2 linked regions of the Elephas maximus indicus genome follow. The protein of the gene in region 1 interacts with the protein of each later gene in a biochemical or structural test. Links are inferred from orthologs where the notes say so. Each region holds a gene or a part of one and is shown on either strand. Other genes may lie near its edges.

The links.
Region 2: the proteins of POU2F1 (region 1) and POU2AF1 are reported together in a solved structure, tested with the Homo sapiens proteins (2 studies listed by BioGRID, with this or other methods). The link is inferred for Elephas maximus indicus from reciprocal best matches to the Homo sapiens genes POU2F1 and POU2AF1.

Annotation. Positions count from the first base shown.
Region 1 is NC_064821.1:208,356,189-208,367,472, forward strand, and holds the start of POU2F1 (POU domain, class 2, transcription factor 1), read left to right. Parts: upstream 1-7,097; 5' UTR 7,098-8,078; coding exon 8,079-8,106; intron 8,107-11,284. UniProt on the Homo sapiens protein: Transcription factor that binds to the octamer motif (5'-ATTTGCAT-3') and activates the promoters of the genes for some small nuclear RNAs (snRNA) and of genes such as those for histone H2B and immunoglobulins.
Region 2 is NC_064825.1:7,619,666-7,630,270, forward strand, and holds the start of POU2AF1 (POU domain class 2-associating factor 1), read left to right. Parts: upstream 1-6,384; 5' UTR 6,385-6,504; coding exon 6,505-6,523; intron 6,524-6,552; exon of another isoform or gene 6,553-7,827; coding exon of another isoform or gene 7,828-7,843; intron 7,844-10,605. UniProt on the Homo sapiens protein: Transcriptional coactivator that specifically associates with either POU2F1/OCT1 or POU2F2/OCT2. It boosts the POU2F1/OCT1 mediated promoter activity and to a lesser extent, that of POU2F2/OCT2. It recognizes the POU domains of POU2F1/OCT1 and POU2F2/OCT2.

The sequences.
Region 1 (11,284 bases):
CTAAACATAGTAAAGATGTCAATTTTCCCCAAATCGATATCCAGGTTTGATGCAATTCCTGTCAAAATACCCAAAGGAATTTTTTGTAGATAAGATTTTTTCTAAAATTTATGTGAAAGGGCAAAGGAATTAGAATCGCTAAAGCAATTTTGAAAACAAAAAATCAAGTAGGAAGAATTCAGTCAGTTTCAAGGTTTATTATAATAGCCGTAGTAATCCAGGCTGAGTGATATTACAGGTTGTTGGATTGACACGTAGATCAATGGAATAAAATAGAGAGAACCTAGAAACAAACCCAGAAGTATAGCTAATTGATTTCTGACTAAGATACAAAAACATTTCAATGGAAGAATGTTAGTCTTTTCAACAGATGATGTTGGAACAATCAGATAGTGATAGACCAATAAAAGAAAGAAGTAACAAAAACAAAAAATCCTCAACCTAAACCTCACACATAAAAACTAACTTGAAATGGTGAACAGTTTCTAAACATGACAACAAAAATGTCCATAAAAGAAAAAAATTGATAAATTGAGCATCAAAATTAAAGTTTTACTATACACAAAACCCTGTTAAGAGAGTGAAAATACAAGCTCCACACTGGGAGAAAAGATTTACAAAGCCATGTATCTGATAAAGGACTCTTATCTAGAATATATAAAGAACTTTCAGAACTCAACTATTAAAAAAAAAAAATCCTTTAGAAAAGAGGCAAAGAAAAGGAAGACGCGTTTTACTGAGGAGGATAGCTATGTGGATGACAAATAAACACGCAAAAAGATGTTCAGTATTACTAGCCAGTAGGGAAATTCAAAGTAAACCATGATGAAATATCACTGCACACCTATTCAAACAGCTAAAATAAAAAATAGTGAAAATACCAAGCAACGGTATAGATTTGGAAAATCTGGAGTTCTTATACATTATTTATGGGAAAGTAACATGGTACAGCCATTCTGGAAGATATGTTGGCAGTCTCTTAAAAAATTGAGCATAGTTATCATACTATCAAGCAGTCTCACTTCTGTACATTTATCCCAAGGAAATAAAATCATATGGCCATGTAAAAATGTGTACATGAATCCTCTTTATATAATTAAGAGTCCTTTATCCGATGTGTACTTTTCTCCCACCGTGGATCTTGTCCTTTCATCGGCTGTACATCCTGTGTATGAACGTTTGCAGTAGGCTTGTTTGTAATGGCCCCAAACTGTAAGCAGTCAAGATGTCTCTCAGTAGGTGAATAATTAAACTGTGGTACATTTAGACGGCAGAATACCATTCAGCAGTAAAAACGAATGAACTATTGATACATGCATTTGGATGGAACTCAAGGGCATTATGCTGTGTAAACAATGCCAATTTTAGTTGGTCATATACTGTATGATTCCATTTGTATAACATTCTCAAAATGACAAAATTATAAAGATGACTAACAGATAAATGGTTGTCAGGGCTTAGAGAAGGTAGAAAGAGAGGAGCCGATATTCCCATAATGGGGGAAGTCTGTGATTAAATAGTTGTATATCTTGATTGTGCTGGTAGTTTCATAAATTTCCATAGGTGATACAGTCACATAGAATTATGCACACTTTATACCAGTGTCAGTTTCCTGGATTCGGTATTGTAGTTACGTAAGATGTTAACCAGTGAGGGAAACATGGGAGCTATCTGTACTATCTTTGCAAATTCTTGTGATTATTAAAAATAAAGAGTAAAAACAAAAAAGAGGTACATAATAATTGTTATAGGAGTTTATAGGGAGAAATAATTACTTGACAACTGGAGAAGTGAGGGAAATCTTAGACCATAGTTTCAAACCTGTCTTTATAGGATAGGAAGACTTTTCATGAACCGAGATGTAGGGAAGAAGGGTATTTTAGACAGATTGAGAGCTAGTAAGTGTTTATAGAATGCCTACCACTATATTTTTAATATCATTAAGACAGGTTAGTAATATCAGAAGACATTGTCTGAAGACCATTTTAATTAACTGAATAGAGAAATGTGTCTTCAAATTTTGTATCTCAGATAGAACTCTGGCATACTTGTTATACTATCGCATAAATTCAGGAAGCCTGAGAGTAAGAGAGAGATAAAAAGAAAGCAGACACAAATTACCAATATGAGGAATGAAACAGAATAGTTCCAAAGATGGATGGGAATAACTGGAGCTGCATGTGATTTCAAGCAGAACAAAGCCTGTTTTTCATGGATTTAAGAAAATGGAGTCAGAGAAAAAGTTACATTCCAGTTGTTAAAATAGGAGAACTCTAATATTAGCCAAGAATGTCCAGACAAATTATAGGGATGTATTAAAGCTTTGCAGTCCAGTACTTTTACTCCATGGATTTTTTTTTTGTACTTATAAAAGTAATTTTGTACTTTTTGTAAGTTTGGGATTACATATTTGGGTGATTGTTTGAGTAGTATTTCTCTCTGCTTTACATTGAAAGCTTTCTTGAGGCTCACCAATTCCTATCCTATCTCCATTTCCTATCCTGTCGCCTGGCAGCACTTAGTAAATATTTGTTAAATGAGTTAATTCATGAAAACAATAACTTAGCAAAACTCTTTACACTAGAATGAAGAAAAGGCAGTTATAAAAGTAAAGAACCAGGATGATTTAGGATAGACCTGACTGGTAAGTTAATTGTAATAAAACTTAAGTAGAGGTACACAAAATTTAAGATTTTATAACTAAGAATGTCAGGATTGGATTTTGTACTATGTTTACCTAAGGATGCTAAAATGTTAGATTGAGCAGTAGAGGAGCTATAGCAATGGATGTAAAAATATAAGACAGCACAGGTTAAAGAAGAGACCGGAAACATGTGCCATTTCATAACTGCTTTCTAGTGTGGTAGCTTTCTAAACAAATCTTCACCTAACTTATTGACTAGATGTCTTAGGCTGGGTCCTCTAGAGGAGCAAAACTAGTGAACCACATATATATAAATATACATGGAGAGATTTGTCTCAAGGAAATGTCTCACGTAGTTGTGGAGGCTGGCAAATCCCAAATCCATGGGTCAGGTGTCAAGCTGGAGGATTCTCCTGACTCGTGGTTGCAGGGGCTGACAAACTCAAAACTGGAAGGTTAGACAGCAGGCTTCTGGTTCATTCCCAAGAACCAGAGGTAAGAGGATGACAAGTTGGATGCAGGATGCTTTGCCAGAACATCCATACTTATTGGAAGCAGGCCATGCCCCCAAGGAAGCTGACTGGCTTTTAACTGAGTGGCTTTCCTCTGATTGGCCTTTCAACTGATTGGCTGCTCACATCAGATCACAGAATGGGGGATGATTACATATCTGCCAAACCACTGGGAATGATGGCCTAGACAAGCTGACACGAAACCTTAACCATCACACTAGATTAACTGACTGATGCCCCATTCCTGCTAAAAACACATTGTCTGATGCCCCCACGATATGCTTGCCCCATTCCTGCTAAAAACACATTGATGCCCCCACGCTATGCTTACTCCTTGGTACGTCTGTGCCTGTCTGCTCCTACTAGTTGAGTTGTATGATTATCAAGAGTCATTTAGTTATTTGTGTGCCCAAGCCTGTTTATAGTAGTTATACTACCTATTTTAATTACACAATTTAAATAATCATTAAGAAAAAGAGAAATGATGTTTCTGTGAAAGTTAAAATTGAATGCTTTGAAAAAAATTGATAAAGGATAATTGCTAAGAAACACCATTGAATTAAGTGTGAACTGTAAAATATTAGGTTAATTTATTAGTTAAAAGAAAATAAAAGGTGATTCTGCTCTCAGGTTGCTTCACGTGTCTTTTAAGTTCTTGGTTCACTTTTAAAAGCAGTGATTTTCAATTGGTGTGTCGTGAAATCAATTTAGTGAGTTGCTGCCAGCAATAAGAAATTAAAAAATACATATATATATGCATATACATATATGCGTATATACGTATTAGAACATATCAGAATGCATTGTACTTAGGAAGGAGCCTCATTTCATGAAGCTTTTCTTGAGTTGTTTTAATATTTATTCTCTCTTTCTATGTATATATGTATGCATAATGTAAAATATGACTTTCAGTGAAAAGTATGAAAACGTGACTAAGGAAGTTGACAATGGAAATATTAGACTGTGTATAATTTTTTGTTTTTTTGTTAAGGATACGATTTATCCAAGAAAGTAGAGGAAACTCAAATTAGTGTGTCCAAATTCAAAGTAATATCCAAGAGCTCAGATTTTGATGTCAGCAAAATCTGGTTTTAAATTCTGACTATAAATTATTAGTGTCACATTGTGTTAGTGTAATGTTCAGTTAGTATTTCAATTCTCTATGGCTCAGTTTCCTTATCTTTAAAAAAGGAGGACGAGATAGATAAAATGGGACTTCATGAAAATTTAAAACTTCTTATCAAAGAATTTTATCAACAAAGTGAAGGGACAGCCTACAGATTGGGAGAAAATTTTGGGGAACCACATATCTGATAAGGGTTTAATATCCAGAAAATATTAAGAACTCGGGCAACCTAACAAAAAAGACAACCCAGTCAAAAAACAGGCTAGGAACCTGAATAGATAGTTCAGCAAAGCGAATGTATAAGCATATGAAAAGATGTTTGCCATCATTAGTCATTAGGAAAAAGCAAATCACAACCACAGTGAACTATCACTTCACCCCTCTGAGATGGCTGCGATAAAAACAAACAAAACAACAGGTGTTGGTGAGGATGTGGAGAAACTGGAACCCTCATCCTTTGCTGATGGAAGTATAAAATGGTGTAGCCACAATACAGTTTTGTGGTTCCTCCAAAAATTAAACATGGAATTACCATTGTTGTTACTAGATCCTGTTGAGCCAATTCCAATTCATAGAAACCCTGTGTACAACAGAACGAAACGCTGCCCAGTTCTGCACCATCCTCACAATTGTTGCTATGTTTGAGCCCATTGTTGTAGCTACTGTGTTATTCCTTCTCGTTGAGGGTTTTCCTCTTTTTTCCACTGACCCTCTACTTTACCAAGCATGATTGTCCTGGAATTACCGTATCAACCAAAGTACCAAACCCATTTCCGTTGAGTCGATTCCCATTCCCATTCGTAGCGACCCTATAGGACAGAGTAGAACTGCCCCGTAGAGTTTCCAAGGAGAGGCTGGTGGATTTGAACTGTAGCCCTTTTTGTTAGCAGCTGAGCTCTTAATGACTGCACCACCAGGGCTCCTGAATTAGCTACCATATGATCCAGCAATTCCACTCCTAGGTATATATCCAAAAGAATTGAAAGCAGGAATGCAAACAGGCAGTTTTACATCGTTGTTCATTGCAGCTATTCACAATAGCGAAAAGATGGAAGCAACCTAGATGTCCATCAGCAGATGCATGAATAAACAAAAGGTGGTACGTACATAAAATGGATTAGTATGGGGCGGTTCTAAACTGACTGGATGGCATCTATCAACAGCAACAACACTAGGGTTTCCAAGGCTGTAAATCTTTACGGAACCAGACTGCTACATCTTTCTTCCATAGAACTGCTGGTGGATTCAAACTGCCAGTGCTTTGGTTAGCAGCCGAGCACTTAACCACTGCACCAGCAGAGCTCCTTTTAATGGATTAGTACTCAACCATAAAGAGAAAGAAATAAAGTCTTGATACAAAATGTAACTAGACTTGCCCAGGTCTGCTTGGCGACCCTATAAAGACACAAAGCGAATGAAAGTGAAAGAAGAAGCTTTATTTAGTTGGCCAAGTAAAGGAGCACACCAGGACTTGTGTTGTCAAGATGGCTCCTCAGACAATAGCTCAAGGGGTTTATATGGGTAAAGTAAATTGGGTCTGGAGTCTTCAGAAACCCCTCAAGGTGGAGTCAGCTTGCCGATTGGTTTGGCCCGAAAAGGCGTTTCTGGGGAAGTCTGGTCTTCTGCAGCTGCTCAGTCTGAAGGGGGGGGGGGGGCACAAAGATGGCGTTTTGTCCACATCTGGGACATAGAAAGGGTGTTTTTTCAGCCTCTGACATCAGTAGGTTGTCCAAAGGTCATGCTCTTATGTACTGCCTATGTCAGGTGGGCCAAACCTGGTTCTTGCCAGTCTCAACTGGTCTTGAGACCCCGGCCTCTTGTTTTTCTTAACTGAGTCTGAACTGGCAGCATATCTAAATAAGGAGATAGCTTAAAGATGGGAATTCAGTTACCTAATAAGGAGATGGCTTAATCACAGGGAGCTAGTCCCTATATCACAGAAGGTGGTAGGCACAACCCCTTTTCTATTCAAGATGGCAGGTGGGCTGCTGATCTTGATACTACAACATGGATGAACCTTGAGAATATTATACTGGGTGAAATCGACAAAGATTGTATGGTCCCACTTATATGAAATATCTAGAATCAGCAAATGTTGAGAGACCGAAGCTTATTAGTGGTTATCAAGGGTGGGAGGGAGGGGGAAAGAGAGTCATTGCTTAGAGGGCACTGAGCCTCTGTTAAGGTGATGGTTGCTCAACATGATGAACAGAATGTCTCTGAATTGTACATGTAAAAAACGTTGAAATGGCTGATGCTTTGTTTATATACATATTTATCACCAATAAAAATAAGGGAGAGAGTGAAAATGCCTACTTTGTAGGGTGTTTGTTAAGCCTTCTCTTGAATTGTCTATGATGCTTAGGATGTAACGTTTTCATATTGTAATGCCTGAAAAGTTTTGGGTTGATGTTTTACCTTGTAAATCCGCTTTAATTTGAATACTGTTTAGTAAGGGTTAGATACACACACACACACACACACATAGACACATAGGGTCATTATGAGTTGGATTCGACTCGATGGCAACGAGTTTCGCTTGGCACACTGGTTAGGAACATGGCTGCTAACCAAAAGGTCAGCAGTTGGAATCCAGTAGCTGCTCCTTGGAAAGGTGTGTGTGTGTGTGTGTGTGTGTGTACACATACTAAGTAATTACACAATTTACAGGACTCATTTTTTGACTCTGCATATTGTAGGTAACAGACTGTCTTCTACTTGAGATTGATTTTGTGGGAGGTGGGGGGGGGTACTACATAATATGTAGCATTCAACTAATCTGTCCTGTTCATTTAGTATTTTAAAAATATTTGTAGATAATTTTCATACTCTGAAGGCACCTTTAGGTCCTGTGCTGCTTCCGGATTTATTCTGATGCCTTGTTTAAAGCAGGACTTTCTCCTGACAGTTTGTGTTAACATTTGGAAAATTTCCTATCAGAAGACTTGCACCATCTTGACAGCCCTGTGTTCTGCTTCTACCTTGCTAATTGTTTCCTTGGGATTACTTGGATTGTGTAGAAAGCTTTTTGCAAATCCTCTTATTACTGAAGTCATTGTTGCTGGCAGGAATAAGATTAAAGGTGCTTAAGTCTGTAGAGTTGTTTCTAATTTGTACGTGTCATTTCAGGGGCATTTTAACAGAACTCTGTCTCCTGTCCCTCCCTTCTGCCCCAGCACTAGCTCAAGTTAGGTCCGAGAAGCCAGGCCATTGGAAGAAATCTTATTTTATCCTCCTAATTATTATGCTGGCACTCAGGAGATAATTTTTCCCTTCATGCACTGCCAATTAATATGCAGATAAGCTGATAAATATTTATGTAACGATTTAAATTATGCAGGGAGTGCTTTCAGTGTATTCTGTAAATGAATTGTTCCTGGACTTCAAAGTACTGGCTGCTGTGCTAACTAGGAGAGATTTGCATAAGGCCCTAATCACGCGCATACTGATTAAGCTTCATTATGGAAACTGCCAGCTGCAATCTTTGTTTCTATTTTATTACAAAAAGGGGAACTTTTCATGCTTCAGTTGCCTTGACAATGTCAGTCCAAGCTGGTAGGAGAGGCTAAAACTCCTCTGAGCAACTGAAGTTTCCTTATTCAGTTGAAGATTGCTATGGTGTAACTGAAGTTGTATTTTGCTTCCCCCCTCCATCCACTTCCCACCCCCCACCTTGTTCTGTTAAGAACATAGCGTAGGTTTGTGAGAAATAGTAGTACCTTCTTTCTCCCTCCCCAAACCGCTACCTGTTCTTCCTTGCTTTGGACGGTTTGGACCTCTAGAAGATTTCACAGCAATGCTGGACTGCAGTGACTATGTTCTAGGTGGGTACCAGCACACTTCTTTCTTATGAGCTTTAATATGGAAATAGCCTGTGTGGGGTTGACTATGCATAAATGCTTAATCGCATATGCAACCTGGTCCGGAGGGGGCGGGGTGGCCAGTGGAGCAGGGAAGGTGGAAGGCATTTGCAGAGCACAAGCATGCTTGAGTTTGCTCTCAGTCCCTCCCTGTGACTAGCTTCTGGTTCAGCGGATATTCGCAGTAAATACTGTGGATTTAGAAGTTAGCTTGAAAGGGTGACATTTTTGCTTTTTGGAAATTTCTGTCGAGAGCATGTAGTTCTAAAAACACTCTAAATATGAAACCAAGCTATAAACTGTACCTAATAATATATACATATTAATTAAAATGTTTTGCATACTTAATACAAATGTCCCATACAAAATCTAAAATGGCTTAGTGAGAAATAAGGTGGAGCCTTAGTACAGAATTGTTCCCATAAATACTGATGTAGAGGGTAATTGCAGTGGTTACCATAATAGGACTATTGATCAATTTCCAGGTTTTAGAAACTATTAATTGTTTTAACATTATGCCTAATATTACCCATCTTTTTTTTTGATCTTTTGAAGTCAACTATGTCCTTCAGAAAACTATAATTTTAAGTATTGGAAATCCTAGTTTTACAATTTTCACTATAGAACAACAAACCTTTTGGGGAAGATGATGTCCAGTTTGAATATTTGAACCATCTTTGGTGATTCAGATTTAACATAGATTGAGACACTATGGTGGCTCCTGGTGGCCATGTTTTGTGTTGGTTTTTGCCTGTTTAGATGTACGATTATTAGAACCCTTATGTGGTTACTTTGGTCACCTGGATAGTTCAAGGATGTGATCTCCAGGACAGGGGTATCTTACCGTTAAAACCTTTACAAATTACTTTTTTTCCTGGATGTCATCTTCTCCACATGAAAATTGCGGCTGCCCCAGTTTCCTGCATTGTTGCCAGAGATAAAATGTTAGTTCTGAAAATGTTTGAAGTCTTAGACAGAAGGCTTGGCCCAAACCCAGGGTCTGTAGTATTTGTACAGAAAAAAGAAAATGAATGAATGGCAAAAACAACAAATTGATGCCAAGAATTCAACCCAAGACCACCTTGTATACTGGGTATTAGACTTATTAGATACAGTCATCTCAGTGTCAGATACAGATAATTTTGGTATTGCCCAGAGAGAAAAATCTTCAAGTATCAAAAAAGAGCTTGTCTCTATCTACTAAGATAGAAACTCAAGAAAGGAAAGAAAAGGAAGATACTTTTCTGAAATATTTTTAGCAATATATTTTAAAATAAAAAATTGTGTCTGTATTCCTTTTAAGTAACAGTAAATATCATTTAAACAATCTTTTCGTCATTGTTCTGTTATTAGTTAGTTAATCAGAATTTTATTGTTTCATTTATTTTTTGGTGAAGTAATTTTAATAAATGCCTTTGAAACTCTTTGACAGTTCAGTAGAAGAACCTTAGAAGATCCACAAGGTCTGTGACATAATCTTTAATTTATAGACGTGGAAATTAGGATAGGAATTGTACAAGGTCAGGCTCATGACTTTTTAAGACTTACCTCTCTTTTGTTTTTATGGTATCCACATATGTGGGAAAATTGTTACCCATTTTATAAATGTTAACTGACTCATCTTTTTTTTTTTTTTTTAATTTTTAAATTCTAAGGGAAACACTGAGCAGGGTGTATGCTTAATGGTATATTCTACTGCATTTCTTAGGATTTTTGACTTTCATAAAATTCTTGTTAAGTCATTCAGAAAGCTGATTTTCACTAAGTCTGTCCACCTGTTCCTTTCAAACCTTAGTGTACTTTCAGATGCTATTTAAGTTTTTCTGGACAGCTTCTCTGTTATAATAACTAAACAGTGCCTTCATTCGGGGGCGGGGGGAGGAAGCTATAGAACTGCTTTTGCCCTCATTTAAGGCCATAAACACACATATTTGAACCCTCTGAACATCTGAGGAAAACCAGAGTCACAGTAGAACTGCCCAAGCTCATGAGATAAACATCTGTTACAAAAACTAGTATCTTATAAAAACTACCCTACAGCTTCTAGGCTAGAGATGGAATTCATGGGGGAAGGACTCCTGATTCTTTTTCGTCACTTAGGCGTGTGGTTAAGGCAGCCGTGGACAACTTCCTTGAGACTTCTGTGTAACAGTTGTTTTGATTTCCTAGTTAAGTATTTAAACAGATGACAAAATGTGCTCCAAGTTCAAAAAGCAAATACAGCGTATTTAAGTATTTGTTCTCTGTTAATAACTGTAGTTAAATGGTTCTTAGCCTGGTGGGAGAAAAGGCAGAACTTGTTTGATAATAAACTTGTTTGATTATTTATAATGTTAAGTTTCAGTTTGCAGATGTGAAGTAGGATATTTATATAATGTGTATTCAGCTTTTGGCCCTTTGAAAGAGGGAGAGGCGCGGATGTGTCCTTGCCTCGCCTCTTGTGTTGTATACATCTTCCGGAATACCTGCTATTGCTTATTACTGTGGAAACCTTCATTAAATAGATAACCCTACAAGAAGGAAACCCGTATCGAGCAGGCTCATTTGGGGTACTAGGCTAGTTTAAGTTTTAAGTAGCTGTGGTTGTAATTCAGATTTGAAATTACTAGATGGATTATTTGATGGATATTAGATGGATTAGATTATTAGATGGATTAGATGTTTTTATGCCTTATGGTACAACTTCTTGTACTGGTTTAAGATTAAGGTGTGAATTTGATATACTCTGATTTTGACACTTGTTTCATGTGGTTTGTGGGGGACGAGTCACTATGGAGGTATTTTTCTTAAATTTTTTTTTTTAGATTGAGTTACTACTGTCCCATCTGTTTTCAGAGTTACCAGTGAATTATTTCCGATAACAATTAATGAATATCTTTGCTTATGAAAAAGAAAAACCCTTTATTTTGGAATTTTTTTTTTTTTTTTTAGTTTTCAAAGTGCTTCCCCCCCCAACTTTGTTTCTTTAACATATTTTAAAGTTTATATTATAAAGCATTTATATATTATAGATTATGCTTTATGTAATAAAGTATATATATATATTTCATACTTTAATATTTTTTTTTCAAGTTAGATATATGTTATCTTTCTTAGAAGACTCTTAAGATCTTTCAGTAAGGTGATTTATTTCTGGGTCACT
Region 2 (10,605 bases), on another chromosome or scaffold:
AAGTATGCTCATAAAGAGCATTGGGCATCCTCCAGCTTGCCATGGAGGCCAGGCTGTTACATACAATAAAGTTCTGATTTTTGAACATTGGAGCCCATCCAGCCCACTAAGGTCTGGGTCTGTGCAATCTCTGTTTGAGAAGAGTGATTGACTTCTTTTTAGTTGTCCATAGCCTAGTCCTAATATTGAATTATTTAGGGCATAATAAAGCTGGGAATCCCAACCATTAAGGCCATTCCTGGATAAGGACCTACCATACAGCTGTCAGCCTTATTTGCAGAGTAGCTGAGAATCTGGGACAGTTAGATGTGGTTGGAATCCTGCCATTTCTTTGGGATGGGAAGTCCAAAAACAAACAAAGACCCAGAAAAACAAACAAACCTGTTGCTGTTGAGTCCTACTCATAGTTGACATTATAGGACAGAGTACAACTGCCCCACATGCCACAGGTTTCCAAGGCTGTAATCTTTACAGAAGCAGGCTGCCACATCTTCATCCTACAGAGAGGCTGGTGGGTTCGAATCCCCACCCTTTCCATTAGCAGCCAAGTGCTTAACCACCACACCACCAGGGCTCCTGAGAAGTAATCGGCAAAGCTTGAAGTGTTTCCTAATATGCGTGATTTTTGAGAACAAAAACATGAACGGTAATTCAGTTATGTAGTCTCAGGGTCTGAAATTAGTGTATGTAGAACACCATGCAGTAGGCTATTACATTTAACCAGTGCGACAATTATTACAATTTCAATTTGAAAGATAAGGAAACTAAAACTAGAAGAGATTAAATAATTTACCCAAGGCCACACTGCTAGCAGTGTAGCCAGATTCCAAACCAGGTTCTCTGGCTCTATATTAAATAATCACTTCACTGTTCTCTGCTGCCTCTCCCAGAGGCAAATTCTATGCAACAATGAAATGCTCATTTGCAGGAGAAATGAGAAATGGGCCTTGTTGACTCAGTTTGTACAGAAAACATGGGAGACTGCCTGCAGCCAGCAGTGGAGTTCGATATTTTGCCTGTGCATTACCCATTTCACCTGGGGGACCATGATTGTTCTAGCTGGACTTGGGCAGTTTATATCTCATATATTTAAAAATTTGATAGCATAGAGTTTCCCTAAAATAAGCAGTAATTCTTAATCTTGCGAATCAAGGAAAAATATGTATGCACACAAGATTCATGGACCCCATTAAGATCACCCAGGTCTTCCCTCTCCTTCTGGGTTGTTATGGATATATTTTGTCTTTTTCTTCCATCTTTAAGAAAATTCCTGTAATAAAGTTCACCCAGGTATTTGATCAGTTTTTGTTCCCATATTTCTTGTTGCATCCTTTTGGGCTGCTCTTTTATTTGAATGCCTCCTCCAAGAGCAATTTTAATGTGAGGCTTGTATGTTTGAGGGTATTGTTGTGAAGCAACAATATTGTAATGACAGCTTGGCTGGATTTAAAATTAGAGGTTCAACATGCTTTTCCTTCAATACTTTAAAAACATTTCTTCATTGTCTTCTTGCACCCAGTATTGCAATAAGAAAAGTGTAATGTCAATATGATTCTTGTTCTTCAGTTAACATGCTCTTGCTCTCAGAAAACGTTTAGAATTTTCTCTTTGTCTTCTTTTTAAATTTCACTGTAATGGGTCCAGATGTTAGTTTTTTCTTTTCTCTCTTGTTTCACTATCCACAAGCCATTTAATCTGAGATCTTATATCATTTTTTTTTAATTCCAGGAATTTTTCTTCAGTGTATCTTCAAGACAAAGACATGACAAAAATAGCCATTATCATCATTGCTGTTTAATATTGTATGGGTCAACATTATAAAGAAAGGAAAAAAAATGAGAGCTGTAAAGATTGGAAGGGAAAAGATAGAACTGCCATTATCTTCAGAAGAGATGATCGTCTACGTAGAAAGACCATCATAATCAACACACTGTTAGAACTAATAAGAGAGTTTAACAAAGGTGCTAGGATATACTCACAAATATTACTAGAATTATTCTATAGCCTAGATAACCAACTAGAACATATAATAAAAATTAAGGTATCATTCACAATGGCAATGGAAAACTATATAGTGACTAAAAAGTACCTTATCCAAAACTGCACTAGACTTTCATAGAGAAAATTTAAAAACTCTAATAATAAAGAGGAGCCCTGGTGGCGCAGTGGTTAAGTGGTTGGCTGCTGACCAAAAGGTTGGCAGTTCCAATCTACCAGCTGCTCCTTGAAAACCCTGTGGGGCAGTTCTACTCTGTCCTACAGGGTCACTATGAGTTGGAATCAGCTCGACAGCAATGTGTTTGGTTTTTTTTGGTTAATAATAAAGAACATAGAATGTGATCTGAATAGATGGAGAGCTATTCCATGCTTACCACTATGGTACCAGCTGCCATTAAGTTGATTCCAACTCATGGCAGCCCCATGTGTGCCACAGTAGAACTGTGCTCCATACGGTTTACAATGGCTTATTTTTTCAGAAGTAGATTGCCTGGCCTTTCTTCTGAGGTGCCTCTTGGTGATTTTGAACTTCCAAGCTTTTGGTTAGTGGCTGGGCATGTTAACTGTTTGTACTACCCAGGGACTCATTCTATGCTTAAAAAAAAAAAAAAATTTTTTTTTTTTTAGCTGGGCTAAATTAATGTTATCAAGATATCAGCTCTTCCAGAGCAAAAATCAATAAATTCGATGAAATCCCAATAAAAATTCCAATTGTGTTTTTTTTAGGAACTTGATGAACTTATTCTAAAATTTTAAGATTTACAATAAGTAATAATGGAAACTGTAAGGTGTTAGTACAAGGACATACAATGAGACCAATGAAATAAAATGGTGTTCAAAGACAGGTCCTTGTATATATGTGAATATAGCATAGATAAAGGCAACCTCATAAGTCAGTGAGGGAAAAGAAGTCTTGTTGAGGTGATGGTGTGGAGAAAATTAGCCCACTATATGGGGAAAAATAAAACTTGATCCCTAGACTCCATCAGTGAGCAACTACACATGGAGTACCAATGTGAAAGATAAAACTCTAAAGTTAATAGAATAAAATGCAGGAAACCATCTTTATTATCTTGGGATGAAGAAAGAATTTTTCAACAAAATCCCCAAAATGCAAGCATCAAAATTAAGTATTTCTAAGAAGAAAACCCTGGTGGCGTAGTGTTTAAGTGCTACGGCTGCTAACCAAGAGGTCAGCAGTTTGGACCCACCAGGTGCTCCTTGGAAACTCTATGGGGCAGTTCTACTCTGTCCTGCAGGGTCACTATGAGTTGGAATCGACTCAACGGCAGTGGGTGTGGGTTTTGTCCCACACAAGGACATTATGAATAAACTTTGAACAGATGACAGATTAGGAAAGGATATTTGGAATGAGTGCAACTGACAATACCTAGAACTATGCATCTAGAATATGCAAAAAGCTCCTGCTAATCAACAAGAAAAAAAGAGCAAGTCCAATAAAGAAATTGGCAAAGGATATGAACAAGCCTTTTACAGAAGAGGAAATCCAGAAGGTTAACAAGCATATGAAGAGATACTTAAGTTTATTAGTATTAGTGATGTCAAATAAAACCACAACAAACTATCACTTTCCATCCATAAGGCTGGTGAAAGAAAAGTGGATAATGCCAAGTTTGGTGGAGAAGTATAAATATGTGAAGCCTCATGAACTGATAGTGGGAATTCTGGGGAGCAATTTGACAGTAGTTAGTTGAATTAAATATTATTATTTAAAATTTAAATATTATAGACAAATAATACTTACAATTTAAGTAATGTTAAGTAATAAGCTTCTGTTGATCTGCTCCAGGTTCTAACGGCAATGATCCTATGGTACTACGAATAAATATGGCTCGTACTTAACATTATTAAATTTATTACTAATCATATTCTTTGACCTGGGTATATAACCCCAAGGACATTTTCACGTGTCTCTGGAAAAGGATGCATATCAGAATGTTCATTGTTGTTTTATGAAAAGGGGGTAAATTGGAGACAATCTAGATAAGTAAAATGTAGGGTTTGCATACTGTGGAATACTTTGCAGCCATTATAAATAACAGATTGAATGTATACATAGCAATGTGGATGGATTTTAAGCATAGTTAAATTTAAAAAGAAATAAGTAATAGTACAAGCCGTATAATACAACACCAATTACATGAATTAGAAATACATGCATGCCTTCGTGGCACACTGATTAAGAGCTCAGGCAGTTCGAATCTACTGACTGCTCCTTGGAAACCCTATGGCACAGTTCTAGTCTGTCCTATGGGGCCACTATAAGTCGGAATCAACTTGATGGCAACAGGTTTAGAGGCATGCAAAATAATACATATTTTTATAAATGTCTACAAACAGAAAGGTCAACATCAACCAGGTGAAAATAGTTGCCTCGACTGGGATGGTGGATGTGTGATGGGGGTGAGGGGGTATAGGAGAAAGAATAGATATGTAAAACGAGAAGGAAAGTGAATGAGTGAATAAGTGAATAACTGAATGAAGGAATGAATAAAGGAATAAATAAATAAATGAGCAGTCTTTCATAAACCAATGGTGTTAAAATGTCATGGACCGAAGGGGAAGATTAAAGTCCTAATGAAAAGCAAAACTAAAGCCTGGCAGAAGCAATGAAACATAGTAAGCACTCAATAAATATTTGTTGGATGGAGGAAGCAGTGAAGTCTGTGGCGAAGCTTTTTGGCAATTTGAGTCCTTTTGCAGTATGAATCAGTGCTTTTTAATTAATTGTTTTAGGAGTTTTGATTTTGGTTTATCAGATTTTTAAAAAGTGGGAGCACACCTGTATTTGGAGACATTTGGATGGTGTTGACAGACTTTCTTTTCCTGCACGTCTTGACGTATTGCATGAACATGACCACCGTGTCTCTTTTGAACTCTACATGTAGTTTGACTTCTGATTCTGAGTCACAGAAGATGTCTGCCAGGCAAAATCTCTGCCATTTTGATTGAGTCATGATTCCACAATACCTGCCTATATGTGGTCAAAGATATCCAGGGTCTTTGCTGGAAGCACTGGCTTCCTGAACTGGCTTATATCTGGCAGGGTTTATACCTGGCTATAATGGTGGGCTTGTCTACCAAATTTGTTTTTTCTCTGTTACCGTTAAAGGTTTGATTTGTCAGAACACCTCTGGGTTTCTCTCCTTCCTCCTATCTTTCCAGAGGACAGGGGTTTATCCCAGGGGTAACAAGGGAACTAAGAAAAGAGGGACTAATTTTCTCTGGGCTAGGAGTTTTGGTGGACCAGAAATTTTTTCACCAAAAAGGTGCGATTTGAGTTGGATCTTAAAAAAGAAAGAGGTGATATTTAGATGGGGAAGTGGGGGAAGTTTCTATTGATCTGATCTAGGTTATAATAGCAATGATCCTATAGTACTACTAATAAATATGGCTGACACTTGGCTTTCACCTTAATGAATGTCTATTAGTATAATTATTTAGAGCTCAGGCTTTGGTCATAAGACCTTAAGTCTAAAACCCAGCCTATCACCTCTTAGCCCTGTGACATTGGGCAAGTTAAACTTCCTAAATGAATATTTGTTTCTCTGGAAAATACAAACAGAAGTTCCCTCACAGAGTTGTTGCTGCGACTAAATTAAATAATGTCTAGAAAGGCTTAACATGGGGCTTGGTGCAGAGTAAGTAAAAAAAAAAAATAATTTTTTTTTAGTTATTATTATTTCAGGAAATCATTATGCTAGGCTTATGGGGAGAGACAAAGATGGGTAAGAAGAAGTTCTTAATTTCATGGAACTTGGAAAGAATAAGACATAACTATGATGCGGAACAGCATAAGAAAGGTTAGGGAGGTTATATACGCTCCTCAGAACCCTGTCAGACATTCAGAGAACTGCTTCTTCATTTTATAAACAAGGAAACTGAGACTCAGATGGGTCACATGACTTGTTTAAGGGGTTGTAGCCAGTAAGTGGCAAAGCCTTGCTAGAAACCCACGTCTCCCGCGACTGAGCCAGGCCTAGTGGATGTGCCACTGTTTCCAGTGGGAACTTCTCAGCGCGGCCCAAGGTCTTCTGTGTGACACTACTCCCTGCAAGGCTGTGGCGCTGCCAGCCGCCACCTACAGAACTGGGCCCTCCACATCCCAGGGTTCAGAGGCCTTGGGATGAGGGCTCATAGTTCAGCTTATAGATAGCATTCTCAGCCTTTTGAGCGAGTTGTTTATGCGGACAACATTTCTCCTCAGGGTCTGCCCTCGAACCAACAACCCATTAGAGATGAAAATTCATTACTTCATTAAGTGAGATTTTTTTGAAGGCCGGTTAGTTAAGAGTGAGGCACTGTGAAACAAAGTTGAAACCGCCTTGAGGAACACACAGTCATGTGACAGCTTACCTAAAAATAATGAACAGACAAATGCTCTGGGAGTCGAGAAAAGACAGACTAGTTTTCTCTGAGCTACAAGATTTGGTGGATCAGGAATTTTTTCACCAAAAAGGGGGCATTTGAGCTGGATCTGGAAAAATGAAGAGAAGATGTTCAGGTGAGGAGGTGTGGAAGAGGAATCCAGCAAGAGAAGACAGCAAGATCAAAGGCAGGGAAGTGCATGGATGTTGGGGGATGCTTGGACATTGGGGATGAGTGGGAGATGAGTCTGGGAAGGTAGGCAAGGGCTAGACCATGAAGGACTTATGTGTCTCCAGCTCTGTGGCTGAAGGGGAGAAATTAAAGGCTTTTTCAGTAGGGAATGGAGCGAGCAGACCTAGTTGTACAAGATCGCTCTGAGGCAGTTTGGAGGGCCAAGCAGTAAGGCCTCAGACCTGCCTTACGTGGTCTTGACCCCAAACTGATTGTGTCACCCCGGTCCATACATGTAGACTTTGGATACACAGTGACAAAAGATTTTTACCTGGGAAGGAGTCTTGTGGCCTAACACCCCATATGCTACCAGGTGGTGGACATACTACTTTTCTTTTGAGAAGTTTCAAGTTAATCGGGGTGGGCACTCCTCATACCCCCTCTGAGTAAACAGCTCCGGTTAAAAAGCACTGAGGGAGTTGGGCTCTTTCTCTGGTGTATCAACCATCAGAATCAGTGTTCCCCATATTTAAGCGTGATCAAGGCTGGCCGTTTTAGTGGTGGCTGGTAGTAAGGGGAAGGCTATTGTGTTTCAAAATGAAATAAACAGAAAAGCAATATTAAAAGAGTGAGGAGGTTGTTTACTGAGGCTTGAAGAGACTACAGGTGCTTCCTTCTGTGTTCAGAAGCAGTGACCCCTGGGAATTGCATTTCCCGTTGAGCAGGAGCCCATGGTGGGCTGAGCCCTGCTAATACCCTGGTGGTATGAAACCCTGAACAAGCACCACAGAAAACCCAGTGGTTTCCAGGGGGTCTTTTGAGCTTGTCTTGGTGTGAGCAGGTACAAGATGGGACACACATACTCACACAGTTTACCCTCATGCACACTGCCACATACATACACACGCACACAAGTATCACACCACGCTCTGTGGCCACATCCAAATGGCCACAGGCTTCTATGCCATGTCGTTGTTCAGACCCAGATGGCCGGCTCCGAATATGAAGTGGTCTGTAGCCAGCAGGCTCTGAGGGCGCTCACAGTGGGGTGACGGGCAGTGTCGCTGAAGAGCAAGAGCACCCGTGCCTGCGGTGGGAGGATGTGATGACGCTGTGCCCCCACACAGCGGGAACTTGGGCTTTTAAAAAGCCGAGGAAACATCCTCTGAGCAAGCAGTGGCTACACTGGAGGAAAGCACACCCAGGTCTCACATTAAAGAAGCCAAGCTGTCTGCTTCAAAGAGAAAAGGCAACATCCTGTCACAGACCATGCTCTGGCAAAAACGTAAGTGGTGTGGCCGTGGCTGCTCAGAGCCAAGTGATCATGGGTGAGGGCAGGGAGTTTATCTGTCGGCTTGTAATCCAAGAGATGGTGGTGGCGACGGGGGCAATGAGGGTTGTGGGTTCCAATGCAAAGGGGCAGGAAAGGTGAGGCGGGTGAGAGGGAGCCTGTGGAGAAACCAACCTGTCAGGGGTGATGCTTATTTTCCAGGCTGGGGGTGGGGAACGAACTAGTGTTCCAAGGTGGGACAGCTCATTGCATCTCTGCTTGTGTGTGAATCACTGTGGTGAAGAAAGGGCAGTGTATGATTCACAAAACAAAAGCCAACTGTGATATTGGGTTGGGGCTGGGAGGGGAAAGCCATTCAGCTCTTTACACAAGTGGCTTTATTTTTCTTAAGTAGCTACACTGCAGCCTGTTGTTTCATTCTGTGGGCCTGTTTCCAGTGGAGTTACTTAGCTTTTCTGACAAATGCATGAGATGTTTCTGTGACTACGTGGAGACAAAGTGGAAACTTGGTTTTGTGAAGCACATCTTCACTTGTTTCACCATCTTGTCTCTTGTCCTGCTTGTTCCCATTCTATGGCAAGGGTTGTTTGTCCCAGTGCAATGGGACAGTGAGTTTATCTATGACCTTGATTCTTATCCCTGGAGTTGGATGGGACAACTGTGAACTTTATTTTCCATTATGTGGGACCAAACAGAGATTTATCAAGACCTGTGTTATTAAGAATTGAAACCATGCAGAGAATATCTATAACATTGCTTTCCTGTGATTACAGTCAATTCAATGGCCTCATGAGAGTGAATCTTAGTAGGGCTCAGTTCTGTACTTCCTCAGTAGAGAAATAATACCAAAACTTTGCATTACCTTCCTTTTAAATGTACTTAGTTCTTTAAAATTCCTTTTAATTCATGCACACCCTACCTCAAGCAAATGTAATATAAGAGAATTAGATAAATTAAAAAGTGTTTATTTAGCTTTTTTAAAAAAGATGTTCCATTGGATTTCTTTAAGTTCTGCAAAGATAACTTCATTGATTAAAGCGTGATTATAGTCACTTTATCATCAAGTCATTGTTTCCTTTATTTCTTGTGTAAATTCTCTGAAATTGAGCTTGTGTAATATGGAGGTGTGATTTCAAAATTTCTCAGATTGTGGAGTCTCATCAGTATTGGATATTGGCAAGATGCAATTTAAAAAAATAAAAAGAAATTAACTTTAATTTGATTAATTATGAAATCCTTGCAGGTAATTAGAAATATTGTTGTTTATATGTGGTGTTACACACAGAAAGAAGGATGGGGCAAGACCCTACCTAATCTGCCAAGGGTACTGGCACCAACCCAGGGTTGTGCTATGTGGAGGAGGGCCAGACCAGCTGCTGTAGAATTGACCCTGGCTCACAGCAACACCATGTGCATCAGAGTAGAAGTGTGCTCCACAGGGTTTTCAATGGCTGATTTTTTGAAAGTAGATTGCCAAGCCTTTCTTCTGAGGCACCTTGGGGTAAATCCTATCCTCCTGCCTTTCAGTTAGCAGTCAAGTGCATTAACTCTTTGTACCACCCGGGGACTCCAGTGGAGCAGGGCGGGCAGCATTCATGTCTTTGGTTTCCTGGAGCAGTCGAGCATCCCTGTGTGCTTAGACTTAGCGCTGGATCGTTTGGGTTTTCTGTGAACACTTGGAGGGAGTCCTGCTTAAGCTAAGGAGCTGAGCAACCTTAGCAAGCACTTGCCCTTCTTTAAATTCTTCTTGTTGTTGTTAGTTGCCGTCAAGTCAATTCTGATTCACAGAGACCCCATGTGTGCAGAATAGAAAGGCTCCATAGCGTTTCAAGGCTGTGATCTTTCAGAAGCAGATTGCCCGGCCTGTCTCCTGTGGCACTGCTGGGTGGGTTCAAACTGCCAACCTTTTGGCTAGTAGTCACCCAGGGCCACATTTTGAATTCTTAGTTTTTTTATATGTAAAATAGGAGTAAAGTAATACTTATTCTGTACAATTACCTTTAGTAGGCTAAAGTGCCATAGAAATGGTGTTGAGTGTTCTGGTTCTGATTTCAGTACATGTGAGATTTGGGCTGCTTCCCTGTGTTCCTAAACTGCCATATTCTATTAGTGGTCCACTATACTTTTTTCCTTTAACTCCTAAGAGATTAACAGAGTTTTTTTTTTAAGTTAACTTTATGAAAGTATAATTTATGTATAATAAAGCATTTCTTTTAAGTATATGGTTTGATAGGCTTTGACAAATACAAACATCCCTGTAGCCACCATCACAGTCAAGATATAAAACATTTCTATCACACCAAAAAGTTCCATTGTGGCCTTTCCCAATAACCCCAATCCCCACACCTGGCCCCAGTTAACCACTAACTACTTTTTGTCACTGTATATTGTTTTTTTCTGTTCTGGAGTTTCTTCGATCTTTTTTTTTTTTTTTTAATTTATTGTGGTAAATGTATACTTAACAAAATATTTGACATTTCAACAATCTTCACATGTATGTTTCAGTGACATTAATTATATTCATCATGTCATTCAACCATCACCCTTTACCTGTTCCTAAATTAGACCATCACCCCTAACAGAAGCTCAGTGTCCCCTAAAGGGAGATGCTTCCTGCTTACACCAGGAGGGCAGTCAGATACAGCCAAACTCCCTCAACCAGAGAGACCACAATTGTAAGCTCATCAACGGAACAACTGGGGTCAACATTTCTACACTTTCAGATGAACACAAATCAGATTTCTCTATAATTGTCT